Arabidopsis thaliana: one gene and its partner. The protein of the gene in region 2 interacts with the protein of the main gene of each other region in a pairwise test. Each region holds a gene or a part of one and is shown on either strand. Other genes may lie near its edges. The genes, in order: AT1G74840 and MYB82.

Region 1 (4,720 bases), on a different chromosome or scaffold from region 2:
CGGGATGGAATGGAGGTCGCATTATGTGCCAGCGATCTCAGCTCAAGCAGTTACTGTCAACGAAAGAGCCAACTTCAGAAGAATCCGAAAATAAAAACCTAGTGGCATTAGCAAACTCGCCAATATTTGCGGCTGGAACAAGAGCTTCAACAAGCAGTGACACGAACCACAGCGGTAACCCTACACAACGAAGAACCAGGACGAAAAAAGAACTAGCAGGGAGCACAGCTTAAGAACTAGACAACGTAGTTTCTGTTGCCAAGTCCAGAAATCAAAGGCCTCTTCTGCCTTCCTCCATATAGACTGGTGGGTGAAAACTGTGGGCGTATTTCACAAGCACTCCATATCCATGATAACTATGCTATGGTTTCAAGCAGTAGAGTCAACCTCTGTTAGACAGAAGAAGCTGGAGAAGAAGATAAATGGTGATCTTAGTTTATATGAAGAAGCGTCTATATGAAAATCTCAAGTAAGTAGCCAACTAAGTGTTTTGATGGATTGTTAGACCCATGATTTTGCAGCCATAGATTTTTTTTCGTTTTTTTTTCCATTCAACTATGTTTTTGATTACTATAAAGCTAAATGCTAATGTAAGATCAAAGCTCTAGTTACAATTAAAGGATCTATTAATCAAGATTCCTCAGGGAAGCTCTAGTTTTTGCTTGTGACCTCACCTGATGAACTCTCTCTGTTTCGAAATCTAACTTATTACATAGCAATGACCCAACTCCACCCAGAATAAAGAAAACAATCTGTTGTGCAAGATTCCTTCTTCGGTCTGATTAATCTTTTTCTCTCTCTCGTCCTCAGATATGTGTTTGTTTTCTGATTTAGGAAAGTCACTACAAGTTTGTCATCCAAATTGGTAATAAAATAAGAAAAAGATTGGAGAAAGAAAGGATCTTCCTATAGTGCTTCACACATTACAACTTTAAGATTCCACTTTGTGTGCGCATAAAAGTAATGGTGGCTTTGCTTTCTAACCGATGCTAGTGCTTTGTGTGATTTTGCTGTCTTCCAAAACTATTTACCAAATTTTGTAAATACTTTTTAGAATCTTTTCCCTACAAATCTAAAATAGATAAATAATAATAGTATGTGATCATATTGCTTACAGTCAAATCACATCCTAACATTCTACTAAAAGACTAAAACTATCACCTTTTTGTTTTTTAATGCTATATAGTTGTGATCAAGTCTGGACATACGATCATGCTGTTTATACTACAATTAGGTCCTTAACAGCGTCTTAAAATTTACTCTTAGCTAGAAAACGACAAATTCGACTACACAATCATTTTTGTTGTTGAATTAGATTCCTGAAATTGTAAGTTTTTGTGTTGAAATTCAAAGTTATAATTTCCAAAAAGGATTCACCTGTCTCCCAAGATTTTTTTCTTAATAATCAACTCATAGATCCACAAGATATAGTATTTTAGAAGAAAAAAAAGTACAAGGATGGAGCTGTAACTAAATAGATTATTAGAGCAGAGTACAGAATCATTTCAGAAGCTGACTATTTTTCTAAGCTCAAGTTGCATGCGCTTAGGCCTTAGAGACATTGCGTTGACCAGTACATTATAACCTGTAGATTTTTATCATAAAAATACATGAGGGTAACGTTAAGAAAAATAAAAGCGTCGATTTCATTTCATTTTTCTCATTCTGTTATTTCATTTTTTTGTATTTAACTTTGAGTTTGCGAAAGTCAATAAATATTTCTTCGTTATACGACCTACATTTTTTGGTCGACATAGCGAAATACTTTTTTAACTTCTTATTATAGGATAACATTTATTTAACTCTTTTTTCGTCATCCTATAAGATTAATTAAACTACTAACAAAAAACCTAATAAATCTAGTCAGCCAATGAATAAAAAAAGTCTATCCAAATGAAAACTCTGTAGAGAGACAGGCAGGTAAGAAAAAAATACAAGAACAGACGAATAAAAACAAAACACGTGTCATATGGTACCGTCACCAACACCTACAACATGTAATAGTTTAAAAAGGAACCACGTGGCTTTTGGCTTATAAAAGGGTCCCCAAAGAAGCTCAGATCTAACTCACACCACTCCATTGCCCATTGCTCTGTGTACTTTGCTTCTTTAGGAGAAAGAAAGCACAAGGGGCAAAATCGGAAAGATTATCATGGCCGACGGTAGTACTAGTTCTTCGGAGTCCACTACCGCCTGCGCTGGAAGCGGCACAAGAAGAGAGATTATGCTGTTCGGAGTCAGGGTTGTGCTTGACCCGATGAGAAAGTGCGTGAGTTTGAACAATCTGTCTGACTATGAACAGACGGCGGAGACTCCAAAGATCGACGGCGAAGATAGAGATGAACAAGATATGAACAAAACCCCGGCCGGTTACGCCTCGGCGGATGAAGCTCTTCCCATGTCTTCTTCTAACGGCAAAATCGAGAGGAAACGAGGTATTACTCTTCGATTGAAACTTTTTTTTATCATTCCATAAATTTGATCACTTTAAACTTAGGGATTTGTTAGATATGGTTTGAGAAATGGACTATGAACAACTTTATGTTCATTTGGATTTAGAAAGATGGCTAATTTATTGGGTTTCTTTCTATTTCTTAGGAGTTCCATGGACTGAAGAAGAACACAAGCTGTTCTTGCTTGGGCTGCAGAGAGTCGGTAAAGGAGATTGGAAAGGAATATCAAGAAACTTTGTCAAGACCAGAACCTCTACACAAGTTGCTAGTCATGCTCAGAAATACTTCCTCAGGCGAAGTAATCTTAACCGTCGCCGCCGAAGATCTAGCCTTTTTGACATGACTACTGATACGGTAAATCTCTAATCCTTTGTGACTCTAGTAAGTTAAGTGGTTAGGTTTAGTTTTTAGCTTAGTTGTTTAAAAGAAACTAATAGAGAGCCTTTGTGAATTGTTGGTTAGTGAAAACTTAAGTATAACAAAACTGATTTTGCTTGGTTTTGTTATCAGGTCATACCCATGGAAGAAGATCACCAAGTGCTTATACAGGAGAACACATCTCAATCATCTTCTCCTGTACCGGAAATCAACAACTTCTCTATACATCCGGTTATGCAAGTCTTTCCCGAGTTCCCGGTACCAACAGGGAATCAATCATACGGACAGCTTACTTCATCGAATCTCATCAATTTGGTTCCATTAACTTTTCAGTCAAGTCCAGCACCGCTTTCTCTCAACCTCTCACTAGCTTCATCTAATCTTAATGAACCATCTCCTTCAATGCATCCAGCATTCAACACGATTGGAGTCGCTTAGAGCTTATCCTAAAGGTGAAAATCTGCAACACACCCTGTTTGTTTCTTTGCTGTACAGATAGGTCTTGACTTTGTTATAAAAAAATTCGTCAAATTTATGTATTTGGCTAAAAAAAATCTGTTGAAAAGAAGAATAATAAACAGAGTTTGGAGATAGGACTTAAGTGGGGTTTTAGGGTTCATAATCATCCTGTGTTTTTCCTTCCATGTTTGGAAGTTGTTGTAATACTCTCTAAGTTCATTCGTGTGGATCTATCAAAACTTATAAATCATATTAACGTTATGTTTGTTTTATTCATGATCTCAATCATAAACAGAGTCGTAGTACTTGCTTATCATGTGGCTATCTAAATCATGTTAGATGATTCATGGGGTTTTAGGGTTTTTATAATATATCTGATTTCCAAGGATAAGATATTTTATGTTTGTAGAATAATGTCATTATCTTTAATGATGCCAATAATGTCAAATTTTATTGGTCACTTCCATCATAGTGGAGCTTTTTCTTTTCCCATCAGATGCTTTTAATATATTTTGTGTGGGATGATTACATATTACCCCTGTTGCGTAAGCAATAATCTTCCAATCACAGAACATGATCCCCATTCATTAATCGACCAATCAAACAGCATCATTTTTATATGATGATGATGTATATGTGTATGTCATGTGTGTGTTGGCATGTCCTCTGTTTCTGTCGTGTATGGTTGTATTCAGTTTTAGCGTCAACGACAAACTTCTCCTCACGTCTAAGCGGGGAAAAAAAAAAAAAAAACGAATCCAGTTTATCTTTGTTTGTTTTGTATCTCTCTGTCTTTTGACATTGTCTCTAAATTTATCAATTTCAAATCTGCGACTATCCTTTGTTTTTGGGTACTTTATCTCATCAAATTCCAGCCCAATCTAGACTCTCTAAACCCAGAAATAGAAACACAAATCACAAAAGATTGAGATAGATAGATCATGATCTCTGTTCTTTGTTGATCTTTGACCAAAATTCGATCTCCTATGTATATACAATTGCTCTGTTTTTTCTTGTTCTTGTTTCTGCTTTTACAAGCCACAATGTCTAAACGTTCTTTCAAGAAATTTGTGGAACAAGAACTCGGATCTCTTCCTCATTTCCTCATCTACACTGTTCTTGAATGGAGCCTCATTGTTTTCCTCTTCATCGACGGCGTTATCGCCTTTCTGTCAAACCAATTCGCCAAATTCTTCGACCTCAACATTCCTTGTCTTCTCTGCACCAGAATCGACCACATTCTCGTCCCTAGAGACCCTCAATTCTATTACAACGAGTCAATCTGCGACTCTCACAAGAAGAAAGTATCTTCTCTTGCTTATTGCCATGTCCATAAGAAGCTCTCTGAGATTAAACATATGTGTGAAGGATGTCTTCTCTCTTTCGCCACCGAGAAAGATTCTGACTGTGATACTTATAAGTCTCTCATT
Region 2 (3,721 bases):
TTGTAATAACGGCGAGTAAACGAGTTTATATAAAAGTTCGTCATAGAGCGCAACAACCGGCGAGTAAACCAAACCGATCTAAGTTTTGGTTTAGAGTTCAAACAAGAATATTACGACAACGGATATGTAGAAGATGTATGTTTGATGTATTTCACAAAGAGATACAGAGCTTGTTTATATACAAGTAATAGGCGTGAGCCTCAAGATTATATTAATTTCCTAAACTAGTGAATTGGAATATTGAGAAATGAATGAGTCTCTAATCATATCTCTTGACAGAATAAACCCACAGAAAATATTAGTCTGCATTACCTTGCAAACTACCAAAAACGTTTATCTAAATAAGTCATGTATGTCTTGTAATAATGTAGTCAAAGTTGGAATATCCAATCTTTTTGGAAACATGTTTTTAATTTGGTTGACCAAATATATTGTATTCCTTACAAATTTATTATGTGAGATAATGTTAATTCGAAGGATCCCTTGAATATAGTTAGAATTCTAATTATAAATACGAAACAACTCCTTCTTCATTCTCATTCAAATACAAAAATATCAAAAAATTCTTAATATTTTGATTTAACAAAGAAAAAAGAGAAGAATGGTTAGAACAAATGTTGTCTCTTTTGTTTTATTTGCTGCTATTGTATTATGTATACTATGTTTTTTTTGTATTTAGCACTAAAGCGTTAACCTTTTTTTCCGAAGTTTTTATGTTGGAAAATTAATTCATGTAATATTATTTTTGATTAAATGTAGGATCCATTCAAATAGATGGACAAAAACACATCGCACCCTGGATATTTGAAGACAAATCGATATGTTGTAAAGAACATCCGAGTGTTGGAAGGTGTCTTCCAGGCATCGATGATGATGCTGAGAAGGATGGGAAATGCTGGAAATTTTGTATTGAAGGGTGCGAAACAGGAGGTTTTTGCAAACTTTTTGAACATAAACATATATGTCATTGCAATTGTTCCGGTTAATATGCATCATGTAAAATTAATAAGGGTCATACGTATAACACAAAGATAAATTGTTCGAAAATTAATAAAGATCTAACTACATTGTTTGAAAATGATTACGCAATTATGAAGTTTTATCAGTCAGAAAGTAGTCATAATGCTATTATTTTATATGAAAGACAATAACAATGATGATGATAGCAAACAAAACTAGAGGCATGAGTTGCTGTTTGATACGACAGAGTAAACTCCTACTAAAAGTAATCTACATTTTACTAAGAAATATTCAAAGATTCCAATTTGGTATTTTAGTTTTTGTTATATGTTTCACATTTGGCACATATTAAATTTTATTATTTGTTTTGCTCCGCAAATTTACGATTATACAGATTTTTGGATCGGATCAAAGTGGATATAATGAATCGAATATGATACCACATATTTTGTTCAGTCTTCATTTTTTATAGGAAGGTACATCAATGAGATCTAGGCATGTCATTGTGTACTAAAATTTGAATGCCCTTTGTGAGCCAAACAAAAGTTACACAAAATAAAAAGATGGTTTCTTGTTGTAATAATTATCTTTTGGTACTATAATGTTTTTCGAAAGTTATTGACCTATATGGAATTTTCAGATTTTAATCGTGGTGTATCTTATGATATCATATTAAAAAAGAAAATAAGTTGAATCGTGTTTTCTTTTTAAATGTAAGTTACCAAATTCCATAATATTAAAATCTGAAAACTAAGAACTAGCTAGGACGTAGATGCATATATCACTCAAATATGTATATTAGACATATACCTCTCTTTTCGTTCTTAGATTTTTTAGATATTGATTTGTTATCCCTTATACACTAGTCTTGACTATTGGAAAAGCATTTTGAGCGAGAAAGAATATTTGAAACGCAACAACTGTAAACGCACAAACTGTATCTGCAATGCAATGGACTAACGCATGTATCGAGGTTGATGGCAATCTTCAACCTCTGATCTCCCGTGCTTATATGTTTGCCTTAAAAGCCAATAATTTGTGACAATGTTGAGGATAAAAACAAGGGAATAGAGCTTTTACAGCTCTAGTTTGCACGAATTTACAGTAGTGTTACTGTCGGAAAAGTGCAAACCACTGTTCTCTTTTTCTCTTCAATAATTTTAGTAGATAGTCCCCACATGTAAGAGTTAAAGTTGGAAACCTCAAACTTTTTGTGTATATAGTTAATAAACAGCCTCACTCACTTGCAAAACTGTGGAAGAAAAAATAAAAGATGGAATGCAAAAGAGAAGAAGGGAAGTCTTACGTGAAGAGAGGGTTGTGGAAACCAGAAGAAGATATGATATTAAAAAGCTATGTTGAGACTCATGGTGAAGGAAACTGGGCAGACATTTCTCGTAGATCCGGTTCGATTTCCAAATTTTTGTGTTTACTAGTAAAGGGGAGATGGGATTTTGGGACATTAAAGAATTTGTGTTTCTGCATGATGTTTTTTTCAGGGTTGAAGAGAGGAGGAAAAAGCTGTAGGCTGAGATGGAAGAACTATCTAAGACCAAATATCAAAAGAGGAAGCATGTCACCACAAGAACAAGACCTTATCATCCGCATGCATAAGCTTCTTGGAAACAGGTCTTTCCTCTTTCACCACTGATCATCCCTCTCATAAGTTTACCGATACTAACTTCTTATTCTTTTCCATCAGATGGTCGTTGATCGCTGGTCGCCTTCCAGGTCGTACTGACAATGAAGTGAAGAACTACTGGAATACTCATTTGAACAAGAAACCTAATTCCCGAAGACAGAATGCACCTGAATCAATCGTCGGCGCCACTCCTTTCACGGATAAGCCAGTTATGTCTACAGAACTGAGAAGAAGCCATGGAGAAGGAGGAGAAGAGGAGAGCAATACCTGGATGGAGGAGACCAACCACTTTGGCTATGACGTCCACGTAGGATCTCCCTTGCCACTTATTTCCCACTACCCAGACAACACTCTCGTGTTTGACCCATGTTTTTCCTTTACCGATTTCTTTCCTCTGCTTTAGGACTTTCCTGGATTTATCTCGAAGGATAAATTCTTGCATAGACTTTTCGAGTCATTATGTTATTATTGCTTTACTTATACAATTTACATCGAGTTACGTAGCCTACGCAAGAATTAATCCTAAATTGTGACAAGTCCTAATTCGCTGAGGATCGTATTCTTACCTTATGCAACTGCAGCACAATGCAGCAGAATACTTATCCCTAGCGATTTGCGAACCAGAGTAATTATTAAGTGGGAAAAAGAAAAAAAGCTTATGTCCTTTGCCTTAATCATTGTATGGGATTTCTAGTAAAAGCAATCCAAATTTTGGTAACATGTCCAGAAGAAAAAAGAAAAGTCGTATTACTTACAAAACATCATCTTCCTGAGGATATAAGGTACCGTCATCAAGGGGTAGAGAAGGAGGGGTTCCTGGAGGAATGCTAGCAGCACCATTTTCACCAGCTTCTATGCAAAGTGCTTCGGCATCTCTGACTGTTGAATCGAGATCAATATGCCCAGACAGCTCATTGATGAACTTTAAGAGAGTGTCAAAATCCATCTGTTCTCCCATTATCTTGCTGCGGCATCGCTTCAAGACCGCCACACAAACATATAGGTGAAAATGTTCCGAGAGGTAGTGGGTCCACATCACCTCCCACAGCTGCATTGTCTTCTCATACTCAAATTCCCTAAAACACAATGTCACCAGAATCAAATACAACACAGTAAAAA

The links.
Region 1: the proteins of MYB82 (region 2) and AT1G74840 interact in a two-hybrid assay, tested with the Arabidopsis thaliana proteins (one large-scale study listed by BioGRID).

The regions. Positions count from the first base shown.
Region 1 is NC_003070.9:28,114,750-28,119,469, reverse strand, and holds AT1G74840 (Homeodomain-like superfamily protein), read left to right. Parts: upstream 1-2,047; 5' UTR 2,048-2,152; coding exon 2,153-2,435; intron 2,436-2,598; coding exon 2,599-2,807; intron 2,808-2,963; coding exon 2,964-3,269; 3' UTR 3,270-4,027; downstream 4,028-4,720. Other genes in the region: PTAC2 (plastid transcriptionally active 2), read left to right, coding at 1-233; AT1G74830 (myosin-binding protein, putative (Protein of unknown function, DUF593)), read left to right, coding at 4,277-4,720.
Region 2 is NC_003076.8:21,342,481-21,346,201, reverse strand, and holds MYB82 (myb domain protein 82), read left to right. Parts: upstream 1-2,095; 5' UTR 2,096-2,233; coding exon 2,234-2,366; intron 2,367-2,459; coding exon 2,460-2,589; intron 2,590-2,662; coding exon 2,663-3,005; 3' UTR 3,006-3,100; downstream 3,101-3,721. Other genes in the region: AT5G52605 (Defensin-like (DEFL) family protein), read left to right, coding at 602-662, 775-986; AT5G52580 (RabGAP/TBC domain-containing protein), read right to left, coding at 3,354-3,678. UniProt on the Arabidopsis thaliana protein: Transcription activation factor positively regulating trichomes development. Has a function nearly equivalent to that of GL1 and can complement gl1 mutants.